Canis lupus familiaris: one gene and its partner. The protein of the gene in region 1 interacts with the protein of each later gene in a biochemical or structural test. Links are inferred from orthologs where the notes say so. Each region holds a gene or a part of one and is shown on either strand. Other genes may lie near its edges. The genes, in order: GPRASP1 and OPRD1.

Region 1 (16,319 bases):
TTTATGCATCAAAGGACATCATTAACATTAAAAAACCTAGAGTAAAATACTTGCAAATCATATAGCTAATAAGTGACTTGTATCCTTAATATATAAAGAACTACTACAATATAACAACAAAACAACTCAATTTAAAAATAGGCAGAGAACTTGACTAGACATTACTCCAAAGAAGATATGCAAATAGCCAATAAACACATGAAAAAAAGCCCAACACCATTAGTCATTAGGGAAATGCAAATGAAAACTACCATGAAATTGTACTTGATACCTACTAGGATAGCTACTAAAAATGTAAAATAACAAGTATTGCTAAGGATGTAGATAAACTAGAACCCCTGCTGTTACTAATGGAATTGTTAAATGGTGCAGCTGCGGTGGAAAAATTGGGCAGTTCCTCAAATTGCTTAACATAAAATTATTATATGGTTCAGAAATTCTAGTTCTAGGTTTATATTTAAAAATTTTGAAAGCAGGGGATCTCTGGATGGCTCAGCGGTTTAGTGCCTGCCTTCGGCCCAGGGTGTGGTCCTGGAGTCCTGGGATCAAGTCCCATATTGGGCTCCCTGCATGGGACCTGCTTCTCTCTCTGCCTGTGTCTCTGCCTCTCTCTCTGTGTGTCTCTCATGAATAAATAAAATAAAATCTTTAAAAAAATAATAAAAATAAATAAAAATTTTGAAAGAAGAGATTCAAACAGATACTTGTTCACCAATGTTCACTGCAGTATTATTTATAATAGCCAATAAGTGGAAACAACTTAAGTGCCCATCAACAGATAAAGAATATACAAAATTTGGTGCACACACACAGATACACAGATATGCAGACACACACACACAGTGGAATACTCAGGCACAAAAAAGGAATAAAGTTCTAATACATGCTACAACATGGATAAACTTTATTTTTGGAGAGAGAGTGTACACATGGGAAAGGGGGAGGGGCAGAGGGAGAGGGAGAAGCAGACTCTGTGCTGAGGGACGGAGCCAACACTCCTGCCACTCGGGGCTCAATCCCAGGGCCCTAGGATCATGACCTGAGCTAAGATAGATGATTAACTGACTGAGCCACCCAGGTGCCTGAACATGGATAAACACTAAAAACATGCTAAGTGAAATAAACCAGACACAAAAGAACAAAATCATATGATTCTACCTATAATAAATATTCAGGGAAATGAACAATGGGTAGTGGAAGGGGAGGCGGGTGGGGGTATGGGGTGACTGGGTGACGGGCACTGAGGAGGGCACTTGATGGCATGAGCACTGGGTATTATACTATATGTTGGCAAATTGAACTTCAATAAAAATATATTTATATATAAAAGAAATATTCAGAATAGGCATTTTCATGGATACAGAAAGTAGATTAGGAATTACCAGGGGCTGAAGGGAGGAGGGAATTGAGAGTTACTGCTTAATGGTTTATATAGTTTCTCTTTTGGGTGATGAAAAAGTTTGGAAATAGATAGTACTGATGGCTGCACAACATTGTGAATGCAATTAACATCACTGAATTGTGCACATAAAAGTCATTAAAATGGCAACTTTCATGTTATATGTATTTTACCACACTAAAAAGTACTTAAAAACATGTTGAAAATGATGGACCATAAATGCTTAGTTGGGTAGGGAATGAAGATAAAGCCAGGAGGTGTCCTACAGGAACAAAGCAGAAGAGATAAGGGACCTGTGCAATCTTACATCACTCAAACTTAAGTTTGAGATGGGCCATGTACATTACTAATGTAAAGCTATGTGGGGTTATGGAGTTACAAAGTGGGTACATATGCTGGCTCCAGACTCAGACTGCAAAGGTTTGAATCTCAGCTCTGCTGCTAACCAACTCAATGAGCTTGGGCAAGTTAGTTAACCAATCAGTATATCAGCTTTCTCCATGTAAAATGTGGATAGGGGGACCTACTCCATAGGGATGTTTTAGGATTTAAATGAGTTAGTACAAGTAAAGCACATAGGATGGTATCTGGCACACAGTAAACACTTAATGAATGTATAAGTATTAATAATTATTATTACTACACATAATAAAAAGTTCAGGCTTTGAAATTCAGATATTCTCAAAGCCCAAGCTTCCCCCTCTATGCTGACTCTAAATACAAGCTCCAACTTACTAAGAAGATTCCAAGGCACAATATAAAGACACAAATGCTAAAATAGAGGAGTAAATAAAAAACTTTGGAAATGCAGAAGGGGCTATTAATTCCAACATGGACACAAGGAGGATAAGCACGTCAGGGAAGACTTCAAAACAACCTTGCATTTGAGCTGACCTTAAAAGGAATGAGTAGTATGCCCAAAAGCAAAAAAAAAGAAAAAAAAAGGTTTGTAAAAGCATTGCAGTTGGCCTAAGCAAACAAACAAAAGCAGGAAAGTGCATTAAAAGTATGGAAACATTGGCCCATTGTGGTTTGAATGTAGGCCACATAGTGGGATATAATGGGAAAAATAGAAAGGTGAAGGATACAGAGCTCTGAAAGTCTTACTGGGGAATTTGGTGATATTGTAAAGATGAATTCCCATAGAAAAGTCCTCTTTTAAAATTGAGGGTATGGTAGACAGTGTCAGTGTGTGCTAACAGTCCAGGTGTGCTGTAGGAAGATTACTTCGTAACAGGAAGATGAGAAATCCATCCTGATTTTTACTCCCAGGCAGCAACATTTTAGAAGTAGTATCAGATCAGCCCTGATACTACATGGAGTTGCCTGAATTATTTTTCCAGGAAAGGAGTGAAACAAGGGATGAGCAATAGGGTTTTGACTTCAAGCACACCCCAGGAACAATTTAGGAAATGAATGTCTCCCCTAATTCCCACCCAAGGAGAAACCATCAGCTTCTTGCTTTGAAACAAATAGCTGCATACCCCACTCTTTAGCTGATAGAAAATTCCATAGATGTCAACTGATTGTGTGCTCCATAGAGCATTTGAGATAGAGAATATTTCCAAAGGGCCTGGTCCAATTGTATTGTGACAACCCCAACTCTGAAATTAGTACACATAGTTGGAATTCCAGGGGATTAAAAAAATTATAAACAAGCACCTGGGTGGCTCAATAGGTTGAGCATCTGACTCTAGATCTCAGCTCTGGTCTTGATTTCAGGGTTGTGAGTTCAAGCCCTGTGTTGGACTCAATGCTTAATGGAGCCTACTTAAAAAAAATTACAAAGAACTTCAAAAATCTAAGCTGCAATTACATATTGCAAAAACCCTACTTTTTTCACACTTAATGTACATGTGTGGCCAGTTATCCTTCATTTCAATTCCTAAGTGTATAAAAGATGAGTTCAGAACTGACCTTAATGGAAATTAAACTAAGCATGGCTTCTAAAACTGGGAGTATATGAAACCTTGTTCAAGTTTTTCAGTTTAGGTCTTCCATCAAAAACATAAACTAGGAACAAGAGGAAGTTTAAAAGAAAGACTAGTATTTGTACACTGATCCTAATATCTATATTTCTCAATTCTTAGTAGTAAAGGAAAGAGAACAATAACAGCAAAGGAAGCAGAGATGATCCCAGATCCCAATCTATACTCTGAAATCTATGCCAGTAACCCCCAGCCAGAACCTAGTTTTCATTAAGTATAGGCAGGAGGAGCTGAAGCAGTACAGACAAGGCTTCAGCTCTGTAACCTGCACCAATAGATAGGATAATGGAACTAGGGGAATTAATTTCTTCCTAACCACACATCCCTAAAGGACTTTGGAATCCTATAGCCATCTCACTGAGCTCAGCTTGCTGAAATCTGACCAAAAGGGGTCAGCACAAACAAGGTGCTGCCACCAGGATAGGTGCAAAGTACCAAGCCCAAAGTACTGGCAAGCAAACAAAAGCAAGGATGAGAGTAAACAGTCACCAAGGCAAGACAAATGAGACTATCCATGAAGCAGTTTTTGTAGTTGGTCTCCAGGAAGACCTTTCTTTAAGGCCCAGGACTACAGGGGATGAAGCAGTAAACCTGGTACCTTGATGGGGGTACCTGGAGTTTGAGGGCATGGTGGGGCTGGGTCCTTTCAGAATCATACTCCCATGTCTTTGCTGAATGGGAGTGAGAACCAGGAATCCTCCTGGGACTTAAAAAGCTTCAAGGTATCCTGATGAGATATCCTATGTTAAAGGGTGAACAGAGGTTCTGGGACTCAGACTGGAATGAAAGTATATATGTTCCCTTTCTCCTAGGACTGTGTCCTCACCCCCTTCCCCAGATGAGCCCAGAATGTCATCTAGTAGCATAGTCCTCTCTCATGGTATTGAGTGATTCCATTCCTTGAACACGTTGAAACTACAGGATCTATGTGAACTTATTTTGTTTGTACCCTCCGTCCCACACACAAAGACAGTACTCTTTATCATCTTTGTGATAATTGTGCTTTATCCTTCTAACTAGACTTCATGGTTTTTTTTGTTTTGTTTGTTTTTTAATTTTTATTTATTTATGATAGTCACACAGAGAGAGAGAGGGAGGAAGAGACATAGGCAGAGGGAGAAGCAGGCTCCATGCACCGGGAGCCCGAGGTGGGATTCGATCCCGGGTCTCCAGGATCGTGCCCTGGGCCAAAGGCAGGCGCTAAACCGCTGCGCCACTCAGGGATCCCTCTAACTAGACTTCAACTGAAGAACTACGACAATGTTTTCATCAGTTTTAGCGTATAACTTTATTAACACGTAAATAAAGTCTCAAATGAATACACTTATGTCAATATAAAGCACAGAAATATAGCTTACTCAGGATGAATAGATTCATTATCAGGTAATGTTGCAGAAATACTAAAAATATCTCAATTTATATAGCACAATAAAAATCAACAAACACTCAAAGCTCTCAAGATCATTTGGTATCCATAAAATCGCTTCCTTCAATCAATAGAAATAACATAAATATTTAACTTACAATTATAATATGCATGGCTTCATATTACAACACCAAAAAAATTGTTCACGGTTTTGTGAGAACATACAGCTATTCAGAGTTTGAGTATTAATCGTATAACTTTATCTCTCACCTCAGGATCACTGTGCTCTGCTAAGTCTTGGAGTTTCTGACCAAACTCTTTTGCTTCCTGGAATATGGAAATAAGCTCAGATTTAGTGAACTCTTCCTTGGTAAACAGCTTCGCCTTCTTTTTGAATTGGAAATTTATATTCTCAAATATTTCAATGATACTAAGAATATTGGCCTTTGACTCATTCTTGTTAAAGGGTGCGACCAATGATGATAGTACTTTGGCACTAATCAGTTCTCTTGTATTGGCTTGATTTTTAGACAAGCGCAAGAAGACTTTTAAAACATAAAACTTAGTTTTGACACTTCCATTGTTTAACAAAGTAAGGAAATCTGGAATGTAATTTGCAATTATATGGTGATCCTCAAATTTCACACTCAGGTGCACTAATAATTTTAGTCCAGCCAGTTGCACAGGGGAGTTCAATGGATAAGAGATTATGTCCTTACAAACTTGATGTATGTATGACTCTGCTGGTTTTCGTTCTTCAGAAGACTCAGAGTTATCATCTACCATATTTAAAGCTCTAGGGTGTTCTGTAACATTGGGATTACTGACCAAGTTTTCAATCATAACAGTAATACCTACATCATGAATTATATCTTGGGTAAATGGATAAGCAGGACTGATGCCCATTATCATAGTAGCTATTTCATGAATAAAAGGATCCTTAGTTAACTTAAGTAGGGCAACGAGTTTATCAAACTCTTTAGGCTCCAAACTAAAGTCACGTGATTTACAGCGGCAGGCTCTTGGATTGGGCCCATACTTTTCCCTATACCTAACTTGGTTTTTTATCTCAGCTAAGGTTTGGAAGTAGGGCCCTTTATAGGGTGGGATCTTGGTCAGAGGCCGAATTCCCAGAGGAGTTTCAATCAAGGTCTCAACCAGAGTCCAATTCCCTTCTGGAGGCAAGGATGGCTCCCCTCCCTCTATTGGGACTAGGACACTATACCTGGCCCTTGACCATGCTGCTGCTTTTTGCTTTATGGTGAGTTCAGGTTTGGGTATGGGCTTGGGCTTTTCCTGGATCTTAGGTGGAGGCTTATAAACTTGAGAAGGAGTCTCCTCTTCAGGCCAGAACCAGGATCCTACACTAGGCTCTTCTCCGGTCCAGAACCAGGAGCAGACATTTTCTTCATCCTCATCACTGGACTCGATTATAATACCAGCTCTGTCCCCAGCCTCAGCCCTGAATTTGATGTCATCCTCTCTCTTTCTCTCGGGCCTGGACTCAATACTGGCCTTATCATCAGCCTTGGCAAAGGACCTGATAGCAGTTTTACTTCCAGCAGCAGCCTTGACTTCACACTTGGTTATTGCACTGACCCTGGCCATAGGCATCACCTTTGACTTGGTTTGGGGCACTATACCAGGTTCTGCCACGGATTTTGCCTTAGTCTCAGTCATGACTCTATTCTTAGTCATAGTTTCCATCTTGCCCACATCCCTTGTCACAGCCACGGCCTCAGTGCAGGTCACTGTCTGTGTCCTGGCCACTGCTCCATCCCCAGCCTTGGCCTGGGTCACTGTTCCTGTTTCCAGTTCTGCCTCACCCACTGCCTTGGCCTGGATCCTAGCCTTGGCTCTAGGGTTGGCAGGGCTACTGATTCCAGCTTTTAGGGCAGTCCCAGCACCTGCTCTGCCCCTGCCTCAGCCTCAGAGCCAGTCATGATCCAAGTTAAAGGCAAGGCCAAGTTATATACCCCAACCCCGTCTCAGCCTTGACTGAAGGTCTGTCCCAGGTTGGTGTTTTCATACAAAGTCCATTCGTCACTCAGCCCCCTTTCCACCTACAAGCTCTGCCAATGATATAAACAACGTGCAGAGGAAGCTCACTCAGGGAAAGGAAGAATGGCTTTGTGCCTGAGCGCAGCCCTGTGGAGGGTGGTGGTCTTCAGCCACTCCAAGGCCACCAGATCTGCCACTGAAGTTGGACCTAGGAGTGGAGGAAGGAAATGGGGCTTTGAGTCTCTTCCAATGTATTTCTTACGTTGATTAGCACAGAGAGACAGGAGAGTATGAACATTCAGGGCTAAGTGAGAGAGGTAGATAATTATCAAACTCTCTCTCTCCTCATTTCACACTCTCTACAAAACTTCAGGTGCTACTAATTTTCTTTCTAGACACAAAACAGGAGTATGGAGTGGGAAAGCTTAATGGGAATGAGAGAGACTAAGGAATCCCTAGACTGGCTCTTTATCCCTGCTGGACTACTACTTCATCCTACACGTCTACTGAGGAAGTCTCCATATTCATACCAAACTTCACTGATCTGGAGTAATTTTCTCCTCCTTTCCTTGCTTCCGATGTTGACAAGCCCTATGGCAGACCTACAGGCAGATCAATGGACAAATAAACAAATCGGAGGATATGGACACTGACCTCATGGTAGAAAGATCATGGTCCTTGGTCTAGTTCCTATATTTGTAGTTTGTGTAATGTTTCCCTCCTTCTGGTCCCATACCACCATCGCCCTAATTCAGGACTGATCCTCCTTCTCCCTGTTGCCCACCATTTTACTATTCAGTGACTGTCCTTTCATTTCTCTAGTTTAAAATTGGCTTAGGTGAAGCATAAAAATAGGAAAAGCAAGTGGGAAATCGGAAAAACAAGTGTTACCCTTCTATACTCCCAAAGCTTTCAAAGACTCCTATCTAAATCAGCAGGGAACCAAAGAGGGGTTAGTAAACTGGCAAAACAAAAGAGAATAGAATTCCCTAGTCTCAATCTTCTCCTGTCTACCCTCACACCAATCGTTAACTGATACAGGGCATGTTTCTTTTCATTATTTCCTAGGTTCAAGCTGGGTTACCATTTGTAAACCTTCACAACAGAGTTCCACAGACCTGGAGATGGGTCCATAGCCAGAGAGTCACAAATGTGGTGATAAATAAGTAAATGAAGACACATGAGACAATGGAGACTAATTCCTTAGGAGAGATCAGCACCTGGGACACCTATCCTTTCTGGAGACAGGTACCTGTTTGCCAAAATTTTCTGTGTCCCTTTCTTCCTCCCTCTCCCTTCATGTTCCTCTGCTCCACTCCTAAAGTCTGACAATTCCCCTACACAGACAACTCCTACATCCCTAACAAGATAGTGGTGGTGGTAGTAGAGATGAAATGCTCAGACAAGCCATGGAAATTGGCTGCAAATAAATGAAAAGTATTATCTCCAAATTTCATCTAAGCGTTTGTTTCCTTCCTCTCCCTAAAGCCTATCATTTTCTGCAACACAGCAGGAGTAAGGGAGGACTGTTTACAAAGCATGTAGAAAGGAGATCTGGAGTTTCACCTAGATTCCTGCCTGTTCTAGTCTTAGCCATCTACCAACTCCAAACACTGCCCACTCCACAGAAATTAGGCCCAGCGTCCTTTTCTTATCCCCTCCCTCTGAGGTCCAAGGCCCTCTACAGATCTTTACAAAAACATCTGTACCGAAAACTTCAGAACAGACCTAAATATGTAAACGCATGATACACACCCAAAGACCAAACAAAAAGGCAGTGAGAGAGACTTGGTTATTAATGGTCTGACTAGTAACCAGGACATGAGACCATTTTCTAATCCAGGGCCTTGATTATCAAACACTTGAAACTGCTTTTTACACTCTCCCTCCCAGGGTTCCCCTGACAACCACGCTCACCTACAGCAATAGCCCCTCCTTCCATTATACAAACCGCCATTTCTCCGCTAGAAGCCGCTACTATACTCCTTTACCTTCCCAAATACGGTCGGAGGTGGAGTTAGTGTCTGGAAATCAAGCTAGCAAGATCATTTTAAATTTATAGTTGCGTGCCACTCAAATTACCCCTGTCCCCCTCTCCCTTTCACCGCCCGCGCCCCACGACCAGATCACTTTTCCCAGATTTCTCTCTGATACCCATATCCACACTCCCAAGAAATGCCCGCCTTCTCACTGACCTGCTCTGCTTGGATCAGAGGCAGTTCTCTTATTTCCTTGCCTCAAGGGGTGCTGTGCCCTACAGAAAGAGGGACGGACAGTCAGCTGGACACGAGGACTCGAGACAATGGCGGCGACTACGTTTGTGGATTGGCCCGGCACCTGGGATTTCGGACGTGAAACCTGCTTTGTCATATTAAGGGCCGTAACTTGCAAACAATTGCCACTTTTTGGTATTCCCTTACCCCCCTACCCAAAGCTCCTCCGATACCCACGTCTAGTGACTAATTAACAGCTACCTTCTCCTCCGCAGACTTTGCTTTGCCACGTCCCCGTACCCATATCCGCAGCCGCAGTCTCTGGAGAGTTGTGTAAGGCGATCCGGCCTTACAGAAGCGGAGTGATACTAAGCTTTGTATAGCGCCACTGCGCCCTCTGTCGGTGAGCTCAACTCTAGCCTTTTCTCATCCTGGTAAGAGCTGGAGCGGCATTTGAACGTAGAAGAAGCGGCGCGATACAGAGGGAAGCAGACCAACACTAAAGGGTCTCAGCATTAGTTAGTTCCCTTCTTTCAGGATCTTCCCCCAACCAAGCCAACACTTTTGCTTTTTCTTGAACTGAAGCGCATGTGGATTATCAGGCGGTGGCGTCGCTGACTCCACTCTGGCCCGACCATGCGGAAGGATACCTCAGTGTCTTACACACTTTCCAAAGTCCTAGGTCCACCTAAAGAGGCGGGTTGGGGGAGGGGATGAGAGGGTCGACAAAGAGGCTCAAGACTGAGGGAAGAGGGTACATTCTAATCTATTCCAAAAGCCGTCAATGAGAGAAGACACCTCAAGCTGAAGCACCAAGCACTTAATTCTCTGCACAAAATGGGATACTGTGGGCTTGGTGTCTGGAAGACTACTCTGGTCTGACTTGCTGAACAATATCAAACATCATGGGCTTTTATTGCTATCTTCTAAGTTTCTCATCTTATTGCCTACCGTGTTTCTTGTACTAAAATAGTAAAGGCAAAATGGGATAAAGATATGGGGAAAGCAGTAAAGGAGAGAAGCATCTTAATTCCAAATATTCTTGTGTGTACCTATCCCATTCTCACGCCCTGCCTCTCCTCCTGTCCACAGTATTTCTTGCACCTAAATATGTGTGGTCTTGAGCGTGCACAAGAGGGTAACAATTCTGTACTCATGAAAGAAGCTTACTCATCAAATAACCTTGTACCTGTAAACCACCTATGTTGGAGGTTCTATGGTGGCCTTCCCAAATTTTTTCATTGCTTATGGGGCGGTGGAAAGGAAGAAGGTGGGAAGGGGTTCCCGTGGAGGCCTCGTTACTGTTTCTGTTCTAAAGGAAAGCAGACCTTGCCCTCTAACACAAAGAAACAAACCACTGATCTGTGCCAAGTCATTCTTTATGCCACGCTGCTTTTTTTCTCACTTGAAACGGTAGCACACTGTGCCATTTCTAGGTCCCTACAGTTGCTCAAGAAAAAGGGCCTGTCTCTGTAAGGATCCAAACCGGTCATGCAATCCTTCCTATCTGTCACCTCACGGCCAGGTGTCAGGCACTAGTTAGGGATGGTCTGGCTTCTCTTCCACATTTCTATCTAAGGAAAGGGATACTACCCATGTACTTCTCAAGGCAGATCCTAGCTGCTCTCCTGCCTCCTTTTCTCTCACCTGCCTAATGAATGCATATGCTTTATCTCTGAATATATAAAATTCTTTGAATTTGCATTCCAAGCACTGTCAGGAGGGAATTTGAATTAGACTGTAAGTTCCATGAAGGAAGGGCCACTTTCTCAGTCTTGTTCACCACTGTATTCTCAGTGTTATACATGGAAGACAAAGTAGTCAGTTAATAGTTGAAGGAAGTGAAGACCATTGACTCATGAGAATTCCACGATATCTTCTGTTGATTATAGATCAATGCCTGCCTAAAAGTATGTCTTTGTCTTTAATGTCTGTAACCCCAGAGCGTAGCCTAGAGTCTGCCACACAGGAGATGCTTTATATGTGATTTTTCAATAGAGGAGGGAGGAAGCAAGAGTTTACTAAAATATATTTTAGAAAGAAACTTGGGGTATCTTAATATCTCATACTGTAATAACATTTGGTGGATACATATAATTTGGATTTGGTGCTTTGTTACTCTTTTTTGGTCTTCTTTTTTTAAAGATTTTATTTACTTATTCATGAAAGACACAGAGGAGAGAGAGAGGCAGAGACACAGGCAGAGGGAGAAGCAGGCTGCATGCAGGGAGCCTGATGTGGGACTCCATCCCAGGACTCCAGGATCACGCCCTGGGCCAAAGGCAGGCACTAAACCCCTGAGCCACCAAGGGATTCCCTCTTTTTTGGTCTTCTATTCATGTTTAGAATTATGCCTTACTAAGCTCCCTAATATAGTGCAAACCCCTATGAACTTATAAAGAAAGGATAATGACCAACAATCCAGTAGAAAAACAAATGACAAGACTGTTCATTAAAAAGACAAGTCAAGGGACATGTGCACAAATGCACATAACTATTGACCAGCAATTATACTTAAAGAATCTATCCTAATGTAATATTTGTACATTGCAAAATACTATATGTAAAAAAATATTCACTGCAGAATTTTTTAATAGTAAAAGATTGGAAAGATTCTAAATAATTATAAATAGTAAAATTGTGGTGTATCTCCCTGTAATATGCAGCTATTAAAAAGAAAGAGCAGCTCTATCTATGTATACTGATATGGAATGATGTCCAAAACACATTTTTAAGTGAAGAAAACAGGGTGCATAGCAATGTTTAGCGTGCCATCATTTGCTTAATGATACTTTACTACATATATGTATACATTGAATATCCCTGTTAATATCAACAAGTAACTGGTAACAGTGCTTGCCTTTTTTGAAGGGTAACCTATTTGCAGAGAAAGTGGAAGGAGACTTGAAGACTTACCTGTGTGAACTTTTGTGCTTTTGGAATTTGGAACCCCATGTTTGTATTAACCACTCAAAAATAAAATTTAATTTAATATATTCCTTAGAATCATAGGATATTTAATAACCTATACCAAAAAAAAAAAAAAAACCTATACCACATGTTCTTAGGAATGCTAAAACTCTGCAGGCCTACACCCTTGGATTCTAAGCTGGGCCACTGTGTCAGGAAAAAACAGTGAGAGAGTCCTTTTTGTTTGTTTAGGAATATTTCTAATTCTGCAATAACATTAGTGAGGGTAGGTGGCTTACCCTCCAGATTTGAAGGACGAGCTTCTAATACTTCTTTACACACTTTTCCTGTGCGATTCACAATGTAGTTTACTAAGTAAGTCCATAATAAATGCTATTCTAGTACTACTACTACTACCAAAGATAATGCTTTCCATTTAGGAGAATGTATTTGAATCCATACAGAAATCAGATGTAAAACAGCACTGTTGATACTTATGAAACACTCAAAGAATAGAAGGGGTACCTATTGAAAACAATGATTATTGTTTGTTTATGATTATTGTTTGTATATGGGAGATATACATTCTATTTCTTAGGCACCTTTATTGTTTTGGAAAGGTTCCAGATTTGGGCACATCCATTGGAGGAAACAGAGAACAGTGAGATAGTTCTCACGATCATACTTTTAACTAAATCCATAGGTTGCTTTAGAACTGTTCCTTAGGGGCACCTGTGTGGCTCAGTCAGTTAAGTGTCCAACTCTTAGTTTCAGCTCAGATCATTATCTCATGGGTAGTGAGATTGAGCCCTGTATCAGGCTCTGTGCTCAGCAGGGAGTCTGCTTGAATATTTTCTCCCTCTGCCTCTCTTGACTCTCTCTCAAAAATAAATAAATGAATCCTTAAAAAAAAAAGAAATGTTCCTTATCCCAAAAATGGTTCAGCTTCTTTTCTATTGTATTTTTTCTATTGAAATTGCTAGGAATGTGTCTCTTCCATATCCTTTAACTTATTTTTTATTACATAAGTTATATATGTTCACAGTAGAAAACCTAGTAATTATATGGAAAATTAAAAATATATATATTGCATTTCCTAACACTGATAAATACTCCTAACATTTTGATATATACCCTCCCAGACTTTTATCAATGCCAATATGTGTATATATATTTACACACATATACACACACACATTTTTCAAGAAAAGATTTCATTATACTTATTTCATTGTAATCAGTTATCTTTTCAGCAGCATAAAACATGCTGTTTTTTTTCTCCCATTTTAAAAACACACTATCTTGAGGCCCCTATTTCCCCCAAAGCTTCTGCTTCCACCATTTCTTGGTTCAAAGATTTTTCTACTTGTTTATTTATAGTAGTTTGCAATTTGCTTTCTTAAAATTATGTTTAGGAAAATTTTAATGACATAGGGAAAACTCTTATGAAATGATGCCAAGTGAAAAAATATATTCTCTAAAACAATTTTATCCAGAATATAAATTATATAGGGAAATGGTATGTGCAAAGAAAAGCAAAAATCAGTAGTTATTGTATTTATGATTTCGATTATAGTTTTCCCCATAGTTTTATAACCTGTATTTCCCACATTTCTACAGTAATTATATTATATTCATGAAAAATTCAGTATTATTTTAAAAGATCTCACAGTGGAGTGGGATTGATACTTGGGAGTGGTATTTATATATATTATAGTAAGTATATTTTTAATTTTATAATAAACTACACAACCATTGTCTGAACTTGCCATACTGTTTTATATTCCCAACAAAAATGCATGTGATTTCAAATTGCATCACACTCTTTCCAGCACCTGATATTGTCAGCCTTTTTATTTTATTTTTTAAGGATTTTGCTTATTTATTCATGAGAGATACACACAGAGAGAAAGAGGCAAAAACACAGGCAGAGGGAGAAGCAGGCTCCATGCAGGAAGCCCAACATGGGACTCGATCCAGGTCTCCAGGATCACGCCCTGGGCTGAAGGTGGCGCTAAACCGCTGAGCCACCGGGGCTGCCCTGTCAGCCTTTTTAAAATTAGGAATTAGGGACGCCTGAGTGGCTCAGTGGTTGAGCATTTGCCTTTGGCTCAGGGCATGGTTTCGGGGTCCTGGGATCGGGTCCCACATTGGGCTTCCCTCAGGGAGCCTGTTTCTCCCTCTGCCTAAGTCTCTGCCTCTCTGTGTCTCATGAATAAATAAATAAAATCTTTAAAAAATTAAAATAGATTTAGAAATTATCGAGATTTCATATAAGTTTCTCATTTTAATTTTAATTTGCAATTCCATGATGATAAATAATGTTGAATATCCCTTTATGTGCTCATTGGCCATTTATATATCTCCTTTTGTGACAAATCCACTGTTGTTTGCACATTTGATATTATATTTGTTTTGCATTTTACATTGGATTGGATTTTATTGGATTTTTAAATATTTTATATTTGATTTTATATTGGATTGTCTTCATATTATTGATTTGTAAATTTTATTATTTTTTTGATTTGTAACTTTTTAAATATATTCTGCATATAAATCCTTTGTTAGATATCTCTTGCAAGTATTTTCATTATCTTAATGTTGTCTTTCTAGGAGCAAAACATTTTAAGATGTTTAATTTTTTTTCTCTTAGGGTTCATGATTTTTTGTCCTAAAAATCTTTTCTTTTTTTAAGATTTTTTTTTATTTATTCATGAAAGACAGACATAGGCAGAGGGAGAAGCAGGCTTCTCACAGGGAGCCCAATGTAGGACTCAAACCCAGGACACCAGGATCACGCCCTGAGCCAAAGGCAGACGCTCAACCACTGAGCCACCCAGGTGTCCCTAAGAAATCTTTTCTACCTCAAAGTTACAAAGAATTTCTCCTACATTGTCTTGTAGACACTTTATAGTTTGAGCTCTTATTTTGAAGTCCACAATAAATTTCAAGTAAATTTTCTGTAAAATGTATGGTAAGGATCTAGGTTCATTTCCCGCCCCCCCCCAAAAAAATATACAGTAGAACCAGCTTTATTTGTTAGAAGGACTGACTGTCCATTCCCTTGATCACTTAAATTATCTGAGTACCTTTTTAAAAAATCAATTGATGGCTTATATTTGTCTATTTCTAGACTCTATCTTGCTGCATTAATCCATGTTTATGTCCTTATACCAATGCCTCATTTATAGCTTAAAAATCAGCAGTGTAAGTCCTTCAACATTGTTTTTCTTTTCATATTGTTATTGCTCTTCCAGGTCCTTTGAATTTTTAAATAAATTTGATAATTTGGTTGTCTATTTTTATGAAAAATATGTCTAATAAGGAACTTGGATCTGGAATATATAAAGAATTCTTACAACTCAATAACAAAAAGACAAAAAAAGATCCAATTAAAACATAAAGCATTTGGATAGGGACTTCCCCAAAGAAGATATATAAATGACCAAGCATATGAAAAGATGACCAACATCAGAAATCATTAGGGAAATGCAAATTAAAAACCATAGGGAGGGCGCCTGGGTGGCTCAGTCAGTTAAACATCTGCCTTCGGTTCAGCTCATGATCCCAGAGTACTGGGATCTAGCCCCACATTGGGATTTTTGCTAAGCAGAGAGCCTGTTTCTCCCTCTCCCTCTGCCTGCCACTCTGCCTATTTGTGCTCGCGCACTCTCTTTCTCAAATAAATAAAATCTTAAAAAAAAAAAAAAACTACAGGGAGATACCACTCTATACCCATTAGAATGGCTATATTAAAACAACTCAAAACAGAGATCCCTGGATGGCTCAGCAGTTTAGTGCTTGCCTTTGGCCCAGGGTGTGATCCTGGAGTCCTGGGATTAATTCCCACATCAGGCTTCCTGTGTGGAACCTGCTTCTCCCTCTGCGTATGTCTCTGCCTCTCTTTCTGTGTGTTTCTCGTGAATAAATAAATAAAATCTTTTTAAAAAACCACACAAAACAAAAAAACCCATATAACATAACAAGTGTTGGAAAAGATGTGGAGAAACTCTTGTGTATTGCTAGTGGGAATGCAAAAATGGGGCAGCAATTGTGGAAAATAATATGGCAGTTCCTCAAAAAATTAAACATAGATTTACCATATGATCCAGCAATTCTATTTCTATGTATATGCCCAAAAGAATTGAAAGCATGGACCCAAACAGATATTTATACACCAATGTTCACTGCAGCATTATTTGCAATAGCAAAAAGGTAGAAGCAACCCAAATGCCCATTGACAGATGAATGGATAAACAAAATATAGTATATACATGCCATGGAATATTATTTAGCCATAAAAAGGAATGAAGCACTGGTACATGCTACAATCTAAATGAACCTTGAAAACATGCTAAATGAAGTCACAAAGGACCATATATAGAATGATTTCATTTATATGAAACATCCAGAATCCACAGATCTAGAAAGTAGATTAGTGT
Region 2 (15,723 bases), on another chromosome or scaffold:
TTGTTTGCTTTTTTTAGTGTTGCGTTGTAGAAGTTCTTTGTATATGCTGCATATTAACCTCTTATTGGGTATGTGATTTGCAGATATTTTCTCCCATTCTGTGTGTGTCCTTTCACTCTGTCAATAGTGTCCTTTGATGCACGAAATTTTTAAAACTTTTTTAAAGATTTATTTATTTATTTGAAGGAGGGCAAGAGGAGCAGAGGGAGAGAATTCTGAAGCAGGCTCCACTGAGTGTAGAGCCTGACACGGGGCTTGATCCCAGGACCCCAAAATCATGACCTGAGATGAAATCAAGAGTTGGCCATTCAACCAACTGAGCCACCTAGGTGCCACACCAAATTGTTTAATTTTGATATAGTCCAGCTTATCTGTTTTTCTTTTTATGCCTGGGTTTTTGGTGTCATATCCAAGAAATCATTGCCAAATCCAGTATCATGTAACTTTTCCTCCTCTGTTTTCTTCTATGAGCTATAAGTTATACCTTTTACTTTTTGGTCTTTTATCCATTTTGAGTTAATTTTTTTATATGTTATAAGGCAAAGATCTAATGTCATATCTACAACTTTTGGAAATAGAAAAAAAAAATTAGAGAACAACCGTAGGGGTGGGGAAGTACATGAAATATCCTTCTAGAAAGTTCAGTCTCTTACCCAATCTTTTCTTTCCTTTAGCTTCCACACAGCAGTCAAAGTGATCTTCTAAGAAACACATATAAATCAAACTGCATCACTCCCTTGCTTGAAATCTCCAGTGACTTCCTGCTGCACTCAGAATAAAATCCAGACTTCTTGCTGTGCATGATTTGACCCCTGCTGACTTCTCCCTGGTGCATCTTGCTTCTTCTCAGGCTTATTGCCATTTAATCACACTTAATTTCTGACCATTCCTGCAGTTCATTGAGCTCTTTTCTGTCACAGGGTCTTTGCACATTCTGTTCTTTCTGCCTGAAACAACCTACCTCCTTATCGTCACATGGCTAGCTCCTTCTCATTCCTTCTAACTTGGTAGAGATATCACCTTGTCTTAGCTCAAACTACCATAACAAAATACCATACATTGGGTGGTTTAAACAACAGAAATTTATTTTCTCACAGTTTTGGAGGCTAGAAATAGAAGATCGAGGTCCCAGCATGGTCAGTTTCTGATGAGGGAGCTCTCTTTCTGGCTTCTAGATGGCCACTTTCTTGCTGTGTCCTCACTTGGCAAGAAGGGAGGGGAGAGGGAGAAGGTGAGAGAAGCAAGCTCTTAGATGTCTCTTCTTCTAATTCAGTTCATAGCACACATCCTCAGAGAAGCCATTGATGACCTTCCAATCTAAGCCAGATTCCTTCCATAAACCACCGCCGCACTCTGGCTTGGTAGTGTCCATCACTATACCCTATTCGTATCCTTCATGGTAGAGCAGTAATGGTGAATAACTGTACATTAATTAGTGTAGCAATTTGTTCAATGTCTGATCCCTCCCTAAGAGCATAAATTTTAAGAAACTGGGCTATCATCTTCACTCCCATATTCCTTATTCAGTGCCTGGCATATACCAGATGCTGATTAATGCCTGTTAGAAGGGTGAACAAATATCAGCCTATAGTAAATTTACATTCCTTGACTTTTTCACTAACTGTGGGGCAGGAAGGGTGGGGACAGGAAGGAAGGTAACATGCACTGAGGGGCAGTATAGCAAAGTCATTACCACATGTCAGCACTAGATAGCCTGAATTAAATACCCTCTCTGCTACTTACTGGTCATGTGACCTTGGACAGTTTACTTCTTCTGTTGTGCCTCAGTTTATGTTCCTTAAGAGATGTCAACATAGTTTTGGATGATGAAAAGCAATTTGAAGGGGAGTAACAAGCTGAGCAGGAGTGAGGTGTGGGGCTGGAAACAGGGGCAGGGAATGGCCTATCTATAGAGGGAGCATTGAGACCCTTAGCCCTCCTCCCCCCTTGTACACTGCACAGTCAGGTGACTACCCTCCACTCTGCATGAGGTTAAGGGTTTTTCCCTTGAGAAGTTAACCTGGGAGAATTCTGAATTTGGGACCAGCAGACACAGAAAGGGTCAGAGTGAGATACCAAAAGAAAAGTGGGGGAGGGGGGGAGTCCACTGACTCCTCCTCCAGGTCTGCTTTTATAATCCTGAAAGCCAGATGTATGCTCCCCAAGCAGGAGACTGGAGGATTCTTTTCTTAAAGCCCCCAGAGAAATGACATACTGACAATGATATTTAGATATTCCCCACTATAAAAGCTTGATTTTTCCCAGTTCCCCTATAAGGCAGTTGGCAGGACCCCCACACTGATGCGTGCATGCACACACGCACACACACACAGGGCTGCTAATTAGTTATTTAGTGCCGTACTCAAAAATCAACCTTTAGTCATATATCACTAGATATTTGAAGGAAGCCTCCAGGATAAAAGGGGAAGCTCAAGGAGACAAATAAACAGAAATGTTTGAAGCAAATAGACAATGCGGTGAGTGGAAGAAAATACAAAGCAAAAATTATTAGTATCCTCAGAGAAATAAGAGAAGATATTGTATCCATGAAATAAGATGCTATAAATTCTATATAAAAAAGAAATAATAAAAGAAAAAGAAATGACACTGGGAAAATAAGACATGAGAGCCAAAATAAAATAAAAAAGTCAATAGAAAGGTTGAGAGGTAATGAAATGGAAATTTCCCAGAGGATGTACCAAAAAGACAAAGAGATGGAAAATAGAAAAGATAGAAAATTAAAGGATCAATCAAGATGCCCAATATCTGACTGACAATTTTCTAGGGATTCCAGAGGAAGCAGAGGGGAGTTAACGACCAAATAAATGAAGTGAGGATATTTCACACTGAAGAACATGAATCTTCAGAATGAGAGAGCCCAATACAAATGAAAAAGAACCACACTAAGGTATATCATCACAAAATGTCAGAATACCAGGGATAAAGAGAAGATCCTAAAAGTTTTGGTTGTGGGGGAGGGAGAACAGATTATATATACATCATCAGGTATCAGAATGGTTCCAGCCTCTATTGGAAGCTAGAAGATGAGAGACCCATGCCTTCAAAATTCTGGTGGAAAATTATTTCCAACCAACTATTCCATATACAGTTAAAGAAATTAGAAGGGAGGATAGAATAAAGACATTCTCAGATATGCAAGGATATAAAAATTTTACTTCCTATGTACCCTTTCTTAGGAAGTGACTAGAGGATGTGTTTCACCAAAATGAGGGCATAGACCAAGATAGAAAAGACTTGCAAACCAGAAAGCAGGTTCATCAACATAGGAGGACAGGTATGTAGCTGGTCTAGAAAGCAGCCAGTCCCAAATTAAAGGGAAAAGGAAGGCTCCAGGAGGTGGATCACTAGGAAAACAAAAGGATCTGATAGCCTACGTGACTGTATGGAAAAAGCATTTTACATATCTGCTGGAATGCTCAAGGAGATTTAGCAATATGTACATAGAACTAAGCAAATGAGGAAAAAAAGAGGCAATTATTAACTCCAGAAAAAAAATATGTACAGAAAATACATGTAATTATAGGATGCCATTTGGTTCAGCAATGGACAATATGTATAAAGTCATAAGAATGTAAACCCTGGGGACGCCCGGGTGGCTCAGCGGTTGAGCGTCTGCCTTCGGCTCAGGGCGTGATCCCGGAGTCCCAGGATTGAGTCTCACATTGCGCTCTCTGCATGGAGCCTGCTTCTCCCTCTGCCTGTGTCTCTGCCTCTTTCTCTGTGTCTCTCATGAATAAATAAATAAAATCTTAAAAAAAAAAGAATGTAAACCCTAAACAAAGAATGTAAACCCCAAATATTAATTAAAAGATTTAGAAGTTGTGATAAAACTATATTGAAAGGGTGGAGAAAAGAAGTGGAGCTAGGTAGTGTAAGAGTTAATACTTGTCTAGTGTATTAGGGGTTGTGGAGGACATTGCTAGTGTTCACTAAAATCAGGTGCTCCTTGCTTCTGGGCACATGGAAGACTATACTTCTTGTATAGTCTGCACCCTTGTAGTTGGGTGGGGCCACATGACCAGTCTGGTCACTCAGCTCCAGGTGGAAATGCTATGTTGCCACTAGAATGAAGCTTAGATGACCCTGTAGCTGTCTCTTCTCCCTCAGCAGTGATCAAGGAAGCTGTGGGTTAAGATGGCAGAGCCACAAGATTGAAACAGGCTGGAATTGCCTCATGGAATATAATTGTCCTACAGATACTCTATAGGCTGCAAGGATGAGAAATAAACCTTTATTTTGTGAAGCCACTGAGATTTTGGGATTATTTACTTCTGTGTAGCGTGGCTTAACTGATACAAACTTCAGCATGTACTGTGTAAAACTGATAAATGAGGATATAGCCATTTAAGCATGTTATTTAGAATTATGGAGATAATCGCTAGAAGAATAACTAAAAATATTAAAAGTGGTTGCCTCTGGGGAGCAGGAAAGAGGAGTGAGGAACCTGTTTTCATTGTAGTACTATATGGCTTTTTTACACAGTGTAATTGTATTACATTGGCAGAAATAAAATTTTATAAAAAGCCGTGTGTGTGTGTGTGTGTGTGTGTGTGTATGTGTTTGTGTGTGTGGTGCGTAAAGGATTCCCCCCCAACCATTACAATGGCTGTCCTTAGCAGGGCAGGCATGCTAGATTGGACATCTGAGGAACTACAGATGTGGCTGGACATGGAAGGCACTGTGGGAAAGGAGGCTACCCCGATGGAATGTCAGTCTGAGGAGTTTAATTTTCATCCAGATGACAATGGGGAGCCATGGAAGAATTGTCAGCAGTAAGAGTATCCTGAGCAAATCTACTTTTGTAGTGAGGACCCTTACTTACCTGGATGGTGAACTGTGGGGGAGAGTGGGGGCTCTGTGGTCTCCATGAGGCCTGGACTAGGACCTGCATACAAGTGTCTCTCAAGGGCCTGCTATTTGCTGGGTCCAATTGGTATGCCCAGCCATAGAGCAAGGAATAGGATGGACAAAGTCCTCTACCTTCGGGGAGCATACATGGGTGAAAGAGGCAAATAGAGAGAAAAAAAGTGTAAGTTATGTGCTGGTTCATGCTATAAAGAAAATTGAAGCAAACGTAAGGAGATAGATTGTGGGGAGAGAGGTAGTTTAGATAGGGTGGCCAGGTGTGGCCTCTCTACAGAGGTAACATTTGAATAGAGTCCTGAATTAAGGGAAGGAACAAACCATGCAAAATGTGGGGTTCCAGGCAGAAGGAACAGCAGTCCGGAGGACCTGAGGTGGGAATGGGCTCAATACGTCCAAGGAACAGCAAAGAAACCATGGGGGGAGGGTTTGAGGGCCCATCCGTCAAGGGGAAAGTTTGAGGAACAGTTCATGGAATCTGGAGAGAACCTCAGGGAGCCACTAGTGGGTTGAGAACAGGAGAGCAGCATGATTTGTCTGAGGAGGCCAGTAGGGCCAGGCTTGGCAGCCTCAATAGCTGGGGAGGAGGTGGGCGGGCTGGTTAGGATGGGAGCCTCTCGGGCTCTGCCCAGCAGTCAGTGTGGTGCCTCTCAGCCCGCCTGGACCAGCTACAGCAGCTTCATCACCCACTTCCCAGCATCCCAGCCCCCTCTGGGAATTGAAGGATCCTCACAAATCAAAATAGCAAGAAAAGAACAGCCTCTAATTGTTCTGCGTAAAAGAAGCGAAATTAGACGAGTCAGCTGTGGGGTTGAGACCGCCTCCTACACAGCTGTGATCCCGCACCCTGCTGAAGACAGACTTCCCGAGACTTGAAATTCTGCTGTCTCCGAGCAAAACTTTTGCTTCTCCAGCCCCAGGGCAAATGACAGCTATTTGGGGAAGGAATGGGACTGATGCTGGCCCTGGAGGACAATGAGTGACTCAAATCAAAACAGTCCTTTCATGAAGAGAGAGCCTTAGCTGGTATGAGTTCACTCGGTCATTCAAAACACATTGAGGGCACTCAGAGCGCATTCGTCAGCTCTCACGGCACCACCGTAGCATCCTGGTCGCCAGGGTTGGGTGTGGTAGCGGGGGGTTTCTAGAGGGGTAGAGGCATGCAGTGTGGTTCAACCCTTGGGGCAGAGTGGAGAGAGAGCACTGGTCTGGGAGTCAGGAAGGAGGTCTAAGTTCTTGCCTTGGCTCTGCCGCTGTCACTGTGTAACCTTGGGTGAGTCATGCCACCTCCCTGGGCTTCAGTTTCCCTGTCTTCTCATCTGGGCTTTAGGCCACATCATGTTTCTCAAACTTTAGAGCCCATAAGAATCACTTGGGGGTAGTGCTTGTTAAAGATGAAGATTTCTGGGGCACCTGGCTGGCTCACTTGGTAGAACATATGACTCTTGATATTAGGGTGGTGAGTTCAAGCTCCACGTTGGGCCTAGAGCTTACTTAAAAAAAAAAAAAAAGGTGAAAATTTCCAGGCCTGGTTGCCAAAGATTAAGATTTAATAGATCTGGCGTGGGGTCAATGAATCTGCTCTTCCAGGAATTCTGAAGGGAGTCCCTGGACCACACTTCCATCTAATCACTTTCCCTCTCTCAGGGCTCTTCCTGTTTTGAAATTTGGGGAGTTGCTCATGCCACCCTTCTCTGGATTTCTCAGATCATTGTAGGGGCATGAAAGGAGTCCTTATCCCTGCTTCGGTGTACCTGTGTGTTTCTGCGATGATCTCACTGCACTAGGACAGTGTATCTCAGTGTATGTAGCCTGGTAGGGTGTCCTTGGCCCAGCACAGGTCCTGGTACAGAGGGGGCCAGGGCAGAAATGTTGGCCAAAGAAGGGGCCAGCTGTGACACAGGCTGTTGCACAGTGGTGTAGAGCATGGAGGAATGTTTCAGGTGCAGGGGGGCTTAGTTGGCTCATCCCTGGCTTGGATACCTGGGCTCATCCCTGGATTGGATGTATGGGAGAGTGCAGTTGAGTGGGATAAGGAGGTCTAGATGAGACTACAGGAAGGACTGAGAACCCTGGTCCACCACAGAGGGCACCCCAGGAGGTCTAAGGCCCCAGCCAGTCTGCTAGGCAGAGGCAGGGTCCCTTCCTCAGAGCTGGCCAATCATATTTCCAAAAGGTCAGTGGCAGAAGCTAGAGGGTCAGGTCACTCTGGTCTAGTCTCCAGCCTTCCTAGATGAAGAATAATACCCTCATATACTGAGCATTTGCAATGCTTTGGGCTCAGGACTAAGTGCAGTATCATCCCATTACATTTCACAACGACCCTATGAGGTTGGTAAAAGCATCATCTCCCCTGCTCCACCCCGCATTTTTTTTTTTTTTTTTTTTTACAGCTAACAGACACTGAGGCTTAGAGACTTCAACTTACTAGCCCAGAGTCCCTCAGTTAATAAATAGAAGCAGGGTTAGAACCTAGACCTGTTTTTGTCTGAGCTCAGTTTTATTATTTTTTTAAAAATTTTATTTATTTATTTATTTATTTATTTATTTATTTATTTATTTATTTATTTAGAGAGGCAGAGACATAGGCAGAGGCAGAAACAGGCTCCTTCTAGGGAGCCCGATGTGGGACTTGATCCCCAGAACCTGGGATCATGCCCTGAGCTGAAGGCAGATGCTCAACTGCTGAGCCACCCAGGTGTCCCCGGAGCCCAGTTTTATTTTTAACTGTGTTGCTTAGTACCCCTCAGAAGATGAAGGGTTTTTCCTAAAATGCCTTCTGCCAAAGTCAGCCACAGCCAGAGAAATCCTTTTGCATCCAGTAAAGTGAAAAGATGTGATGCTGAGTTAGGTGGGTCAGGATTCCAGTCCCACCTCTGCCCCCAGACTTTTTGCGTGACCTCAGGCAAATCATTTCCCCTCTCTGAGTCTCATGTGAAACTGAAATCGGTGGAATGGGAACAATAACCTACACACTTCTTTTTAAGGTACACTAAGATGAAGACAGCCACCAACATCTACATCTTCAACCTGGCCTTGGCAGATGCACTGGCCACCAGCACACTACCCTTCCAGAGTGCCAAGTACCTGATGGAGACGTGGCCCTTTGGGGAACTGCTCTGCAAGGCTGTGCTCTCCATTGACTACTACAATATGTTCACCAGCATCTTCACCCTCACCATGATGAGCGTCGACCGCTATATTGCTGTCTGCCACCCTGTCAAGGCTCTGGACTTCCGCACACCGGCCAAGGCCAAGCTGATCAACATCTGCATCTGGGTCCTGGCCTCGGGTGTGGGTGTACCTATCATGGTCATGGCTGTGACCCGCCCCCGGGGTGAGTGAGTGGCTGAGCTGTGGTACAGGCCACTGACCACAGGAGGCAGCATGTGGGCCCTTGTGGGTTTGCAGGACATTTATTAGAGTGGGCGGAGGTGGCTCTATACCGGTAGAGGTGTGGATTACTGATCAATGAAAGTGTGGATGGCTGACCAGTGAGAGTGTAGGGAGTCAACCAATGGAATGTGAATGGTTGACTGTTGTGAGGATGAATGACTGGTCAGTGGTCAGATGGGTTGCTGGTCAAAGGAAACTTATGAATGGGATTGTGGAGGGGGCAGGGTGTGGAGCAGCTGGCCAGGAGTGTGTGGATGACTGACTAAAGGGAGATGGATGGATGGCCAATGGGGTGAGGGTGTCACTGACAAGTGAGCAGTGGAGGCCATAAAATCTGCAATCTCATCCCAAATCCCCTTCCACCTCAGTGGGAAAACCACTGGCCCAGATGACCAAGGCAAGGCCTAGAGAATAGCCTTCAGAAAATTACAGGTGCATTTCCTCAGAATAAGAATGGTAATTAATATAGTAGCTACCTGTATCCAGGTAGCAGCTGTAACAGGCAATCTCCAAAGTTCAATGCTGAACAGTATAGAGGTTTATTTATCACTCATGTCACAGTCTAACGTGAGTCAGGGGAGGGCGAGCTCTATTCCACAGTTCTTCAGGGACCCAGGCTCCAGATGATGGTTTTGGAATCCTCCACTGCTGGCAAGCGGATAAATATGGAGAAGGAGTGATGAGAGAGCATGACCAGCTTTTAAATGTTCTGGCCTGTCTCTTCCTAGGGATAGCTGGTTACATGGCTCCCACCTTGACATAAGGAAATGGGACAAGTAGTTTAGCAGGGGACCAACCACACCGGTCACTAACCTATCTGAGCCACACTGTATCGTGGAGTGTTGAGAAGTTTAAAGGAGGCTAGATGTGTAAAATACTTAGGACAAGGCAGGGACTCTGACCTCTATTTGACCGAAAGAACATCTAGAATCAGAGATGTCAGTGGTTTACTTATGGTCACACGGCAGGCATTTGGTGGAATTTGACCTAGAACCTGAGGCTTCTGCCCTTATATCTGTTACTGGTATTGCCCCCTGGCGTGGAGGTTTGCAGAGGGTTGGTGCTGTGGGTGGAAAGGGAATAGGCTTGGTGGGAGGACTTTTGACTTCCCCTTTCCCCCAACGACGAGGCCCTGGTGCCCTCATACAGCTTCTGTGCAGTTGGTCTTGACTCAGCAGCTGGGCCCCATTCCTCACTGTCAGCCTTCAGTTTATGGGCCATTAACTGCATCCCAGCTGGGTGCCAGACCAGATGGGCCTCCTCACTCCACACTCTATCCCCTACACACACTCCCCCACTCAGTGCTTGTTGCTTCTGTATGTAACTTGCTGTGTGAGCTTGGATGAGTGCTGTTCCTCTCTGAGCCTTGTTCTGCCATCTGCACAGTGGAATCCCTGGCCTCAGTCATCCTGGCGGTTCTGCCTTCCTGCTGTGGGGTGGACCCACTCTGTAGATCCCCAGCACCCTTCCTACCCGTCTCAGGCTCCAAGTCCACTGCCTGGCTCCTCAAAACCCAGAGTTCCAAGAGCTCTTGGGCGGACGGACAGTGGGCCAGTGTTAGGCCTGTATCCCAAACATCCCTAAGGTGCTCCTCCAGCCCACGCCCACACTCCGGGAATAGGGAGCTCATTCCACTATGGGGACACCTCTGGACAAATCTGGCAGTCCGAAAGTTCTTGTTATTAAGCTGAGATCTGTCTCCCTGCCCCTATCCCTGACTTCTGGACTTCTATATGTACCTGCCCCTCTGCCCTGTGAGTGCATGAAGAGCTTGAACCCCCCTGTGCTAAATGTTCCACATGCTTTAGCTCATAGAATGCTCACGTTAGTCTCACTTTATGGAGGCTTAGCCCATTGATTCCTCATATTAGTCCCACCTTATGGAAGCTCTCCTGGAGGCTGAATAATTTGCCCAGAGTCACACCACACATTAGTAGGGGCCGAGTTCTGCTCTTAACTCATCAGTGCTCTTTAGATCAGTCTGAGCAGGGTTGTCCTCATTGGAGCTAGTCTGGAAATGGGTAGAGTGTTTTGAGTTCTCACAGTGACTGGCATTCGGTGGGTCTGGGCTAAATTAGATCATTACTGCCGTCCATTCATGTAGAGGCTTCTAAAGGGACCAGGAGAAAATACAGAAAAGGAGACCTCCCAGATTAGGGCCAATCCCACTGGGGTCTTTAAGGGTGAGCAGGAGTTCACCAGCTTTGGAAGTGTTGGGGGACATTCCAGGCGGAAGAATCCCTGTGAACAGGGGCCGCGGGGAGGTGTGGGCCCCCACCGAGCCAAGAAGGGTGGCGCGCAGGCGGGGCCGCCGGGGCCCACTCGCCCCTCACCTGCTGTCTTTCCCTGTTTCCCCCGCAGACGGGGCAGTGGTGTGCATGCTCCAGTTCCCCAGCCCCAGCTGGTACTGGGACACGGTGACCAAGATCTGCGTGTTCCTCTTCGCCTTCGTCGTGCCCATCCTCATCATCACCGTGTGCTACGGCCTGATGCTGCTGCGCCTGCGCAGCGTGCGCCTGCTGTCGGGCTCCAAGGAGAAGGACCGCAGCCTGCGGCGCATCACGCGCATGGTGCTGGTGGTGGTGGGCGCCTTCGTGGTGTGCTGGGCGCCCATCCACATCTTCGTCATCGTCTGGACGCTGGTGGACATCGACCGCCGCGACCCGCTCGTGGTGGCCGCGCTGCACCTGTGCATCGCGCTCGGCTACGCCAACAGCAGCCTCAACCCCGTGCTCTACGCCTTCCTCGACGAGAACTTCAAGCGCTGCTTCCGCCAGCTCTGCCGCTCGCCCTGCGGCCGCCCCGAGCCCGGCGGCTTCAGCCGCGCCCGCGAGACCACGGCCCGCGAGCGGGTCACCGCCTGCACCCCGTCCGACGGGCCCGGCGGGGGCGCCGCCGCCTAAGCCGCGCCAGCCCCGCCGGCCCCGCCCGCCGCGCCCCTGCGGGCCCACCCGGCCGCCACCCCGGGCCCGGCCCCGGAGGAAGGGGGTCGCGCTGGAGCCGAGGGGCGGGGGGCGGGGGCGGGGCTCCGGGCGGAGGGCGCGGTCCACGGCTTTGGGTTGGAGGCTGGGGGCGGGGAGCGCGACTGGGGGAGTGGGGGCTGTGGCTCTGGGACCGGGCTGCTGAATGGGACCTCCGCGGTGGCCGGCCTCAACCTTGGGACAACCTCGGGTTCTAGCCAGAGGCGGCCTTGTTGGCCTGGGACCTGAAGATCCGGACCCAGGACCCAGGGGGCAGGGGGGGACCCTGAGAACCGGGCTGCGAGCCTGGGTGTCTGTTGTGTGGTGGGGAGGGACCCCTTCTGGGGGCCAGAGGGTAGGACAGGTCAGTGAGTCGGCCTGCAGCTCACATTAGGCCACAAGATAGGGTAGGGCCTGTGGCCTCAGCCTTGGGGTAGAGTCCCAGCCCCGAGTTCTAGCAAGAGATGGGGCTTGCGGAGGTCCAGGGAATAGGCTTGGTGTCGTTATAAATAAACTGAACTGTCGTTATAAATAAACAGAAAATAGGGAGAGAGAAACAATATACCTTTTCTTTTTTTTTTTTTTTTAAAGATTTTATTTATTTATTCATGATAGTCACACAGAGAGAGAGAGACAGAGAGGCAGAGACACAGGCAGAGGGAGAAGCAGGCTCCATGCACCGGGAGCCCGACGTGGGATTCGATCCCGGGTCTCCAGGATCGCGCCCTGGGCCAAAGGCAGGCGCCAAACCGCTGCGCCACCCAGGGATCCCCAATATACCTTTTCTATCCTTGACAGTCATTTTCTTGGATGGAATGGCCTCAAGCATCGACGTAGTGTCCCCAGCACTTTGTGCCAGTGGGGCTTGGGACATACCAGTGATACAGGGCCATCGGCTTCAGGCTAAGGGTAGGTCCCCGGCCCTTCTGTGGGGCTCAGAAGGAGAAGCGAGGTCCTGGAGCTCCAAAATCAGAGCTGCAAGTCGGCCTCTGTGTCCAGGGTGGTGGGAGGGCAGAAGCAGAAGCAAGCCTGGGGAACTTCTGCTATGACATCAGGTCCTCAAGCTGGAAGACAGACACTTTTGGGGTCCCCAGGGGTCTGACTTCTCTGCCCAGCTATTGGAGGACAGAGGACCGTGCTAGTCAGAGCTCCAAGGATGGTAAGTGGCCACCGGGACTGGGTGGGGGCCTCTGAAGCACCGGTGTAGACTTTTCCTCCTGCCCATCTTGTGCCTCTGATAAGAACCCCTGGGAAATCCTCTTCCGTCTCCCAATACCTGGCTGCACCAGTGTGTCCAGTGTTTCCAGGGAACTGGAACTGCCCACACAGGGGCCTGTCTCTGAAGTAAGTGGGAGGAAGATGGCTTTTATGGCTACAGTGTGAGCATCTGTGTGCCCCTCCATTGCCCCCGCCCCCACCCGGCCCCAGCTGCCCCCTTCAGGCTGCTGAGGGCAGGTCCACCCAGAGCGAGGCATAGAAGTTTTTCTCTTCATGTGTTTGGCATTTTATTCAGGCATTCCTAGGTCTTTGCTTTCCTATCAGGGACTGTCCTTGTTCCCTATGCCTCCCCCGTGCTTCACCTCCTCTCCCCGCCCCCTCCCCTCACAGACACTGCTTCAGTCCCGCACCCCTGCCTCCCTATTGAAGCAGTGAGCTGACATCCTTGTAGAAACAAATTAATTTTTTCTTCCCTTTTTGGGACAGATGGAAAGAAACTGACGTCTTTGTCTCAAACCAAAAAAAAAAAAAAAAAAAAAAAGGAAAGAAGATACCTCTTCTCCCTTTTGACAGTCATTTCCTTGGAACAAAAGCCTCTCCCTTGTCTGGGAGACTGTCACTCCAGCAGGGGAAGAACTACCATTCAGGAGGTTGGGGGTTTAGGCACCAGGATGGGCTTTGGGCACATTAGGGGTAGGGATGCCCTTTAGTAGACAAAGCACAGCCCCATCTCAGGGTGCAGACCCCAAGAAGCTCCAGATCTGAGAATTTTCTTCCTCCAGGAAATGGCTTCAGTAGCACTTTGGAAGATGTAAGGCAGTGCTCAGTGCCCATAGAGACTTCTGTGTTTGAATGCTTGAGGGGGTGGGGTATCAGCAAGGCGGGGGTCCCTCCTGGACACTCTTCATTGTGTGGGACCCTTCCTGCTAATGCCTTGGAGAGATGTCAGAGACAGGGGACAATTTAGGGATGGGGGAAGACTTCTGAAGAAGGTGACCTTGGATCCAGGGCTGTTGATTCTCCCTGCAAGGGCTGTGTCCCCTTCAACCCTCTCTTAAGCTTGCCCTGGACCTGCTCACTGCCATTTCCAAAGGCTGTAACAGACCTGGCTGCTTTTTACTACTTTTCATACATAAATCTGTCCTGGAGTCAGCAGAGGCTGGGTCCAGACCATGCGCATTTAAGGTAAAGCCAGCTTGTACTGAAATCCGCTTGGTACCAGGCTGTGTACCCCAGGCATTGGAACTCAGAAATAAGTCAGAGATAGCCCTGCCCTCAGGAAATTCAAGCCCAGCCTGGGACACGAGGCATCAACAGATCATTGCATCTCAGTGCGAGGCATGCAGTGACAGGAAGCCCTGGGGAGGATGGCACGGGAAAGTATCTTTTCTAGCTTTTTACTAAAACCCATTTGTAGCAATTCTAGAAGACATTGGAAATAGAGGGCTTTAAAGGATGTGTAGGAGTTGGCCACCAAGAAGAGGGGACAGCATGTGCAAAAGCATGGAAATGTTAAGGTGCTTGGCGAACCTGAGAAAAGCCATGTGCATCTCAAGTATGGAGCTTAACTGAGCACTTTCGAGTGCCAGGCTCTGTGCCAAGTGCTTTATGCACATTTTCCCATCCAAGCCTCATGACAGCCAAGTGGAAGTACTATTACCCTCATTTTAGACAACAGGTTCAGAGGTCAAGCCACTCACCCCTAGTCACAGAGCCTCAGGTCAGTAGAACTCCAGCATCCGAGTTTCTGGTGAATTCCAGGCATCATCAATATAGAAGAACCTTAGTTGCTGAAACCCCGGAATGCGGATTTTTGAAGACTTAAAACCAAATGGAAAAATCTGAAGGAAAAGGGCAATTTTCCCTGAACTTTTGTTCCTCCTGGAGCTCTCCAAATCTTCACATTTCAGAATGTACTGTGCATGATGCACTTTAAAGCTCCAAATTGACAGTGTAATTCTAGATCATCACAGGGCTCTCAAAACCATGAAGTAGGTCTGATCCCCCCCACCAGGTTTCCACTCCCCTCTCTTCAGGAGGTGGAGGCAAGTTTTTGCCTCTGGTTTCAAAACGTCCTACAATTTCCTATCTTTTCTTGTGGTAATAGAAGTAGTGGTTAAAGCTAGAGTCAGATTTTGGCTTTCCCTCTCTGCCTCAGTTTCCTCATCTGTAGAACGGACTTTCTTCATGGGGACGTTGTGAGGATTTAATAAGCTAATGTGCAAACACAGGGTCCCAAATACAGGTAAGCTCTTAGCACAGGGCAAGTGGCTGTTGTTACTTAGAAGCGGTCCTGCAGCTCAAGGTCAGAGCTGGAGGCCTAGAGGGAAGACTAGATGAGCTTTCAGGGGCAGCAATGCAGAGAGAAGACACCGGGGACCTGGCCTGGGGATCCCACCACCTTCTAGGCTCAGGAACCACAGCGGAGAGTGAGAAGCTGCCGGAGAAGCAGGAGGAGGATGGGGATAATATGCTGCCATAGAAACTGGAGGAGGAAGGCGTTCCCAGGGGGAGGAAGTGATGGATAATGTCAAGTGTCATATAAGAGAGGTTGGGGGTGGGGAGGGCAGGAGAGGAATAAACCAGAGCCTTCAAGTTCAGTTTCCTACATGGCTTGGGAAACCCTAAATCTGAATTCCAGTCTCCGCTGTGAAGCTAACTGGCTGTGTGACCGACGCAAGGGAGGAGTTGCCCTCTCGGAGCATCTGTTGTCTCTTAGACCTAAAACAAGGGAATGGGTCAGTCTCTGATGTTTCATCTCTAAAAAGAGTCCCAATTTTGCTGGGTTCTTGGCCGGTTGCTAGCAGTGTAATCTTAGGCAGGTCACTTCACCTCCTAGAGTCCCGTTGGAAGGCTAGAGATCCGGCAAGTGAGGCGCCTACCTAAGTGCCTGGCACACAGTAGGTCCCTGACACAGAATCATTCTGCGACAATAGTGGGGAGCCAGAGGCAGCTAAGGAGGCTTGCCTAGCTTGGAATTTGAAACGCTCCTCAAGGTGGAGGAAGCCACCAGCGTCTGGGGAGGACTTAGAGGAGCCACAGTCCAGGCTAGGCTCCCCCCACTAGGCCTCTGCCCAAAGACCAGCCCCTCCGTTTTCAGCAGCAGATCCTTAACCCCTGGCCTCTGGCTGCCTTCTCCGCCTGGACCTAAGGCAGATCCAGGCTGGGAACCAGCTCAGAGGCTCCAGAGCCCCTAGGAAGTAACCCCTGCACCTACCCCCCCCCCCCCCACTTCCAGGTCCTGGTCCTGGTCCCATTGCACCCA

Evidence for each region.
Region 2: the proteins of GPRASP1 (region 1) and OPRD1 form a complex in vitro, tested with the Homo sapiens proteins (2 studies listed by BioGRID and IntAct). The link is inferred for Canis lupus familiaris from reciprocal best matches to the Homo sapiens genes GPRASP1 and OPRD1.

What each region holds. Positions count from the first base shown.
Region 1 is NC_049260.1:76,611,619-76,627,937, reverse strand, and holds the start of GPRASP1 (G-protein coupled receptor-associated sorting protein 1), read right to left. Parts: upstream 9,365-16,319; 5' UTR 9,229-9,364; intron 9,116-9,228; exon of another isoform or gene 9,009-9,115; 5' UTR 8,950-9,008; intron 8,712-8,949; coding exon of another isoform or gene 8,672-8,711; intron 6,963-8,671; coding exon of another isoform or gene 6,863-6,962; intron 6,672-6,862; coding exon of another isoform or gene 4,985-6,671; exon of another isoform or gene 4,651-4,984; intron 1-4,650. Other genes in the region: ARMCX5 (armadillo repeat-containing X-linked protein 5), read right to left, coding at 4,985-6,671, 6,863-6,962, 8,672-8,711. UniProt on the Homo sapiens protein: Modulates lysosomal sorting and functional down-regulation of a variety of G-protein coupled receptors. Targets receptors for degradation in lysosomes via its interaction with BECN2.
Region 2 is NC_049223.1:71,078,291-71,094,013, reverse strand, and holds the end of OPRD1 (delta-type opioid receptor), read left to right. Parts: intron 1-7,871; coding exon 7,872-8,221; intron 8,222-10,641; coding exon 10,642-11,183; downstream 11,184-15,723. UniProt on the Homo sapiens protein: G-protein coupled receptor that functions as a receptor for endogenous enkephalins and for a subset of other opioids.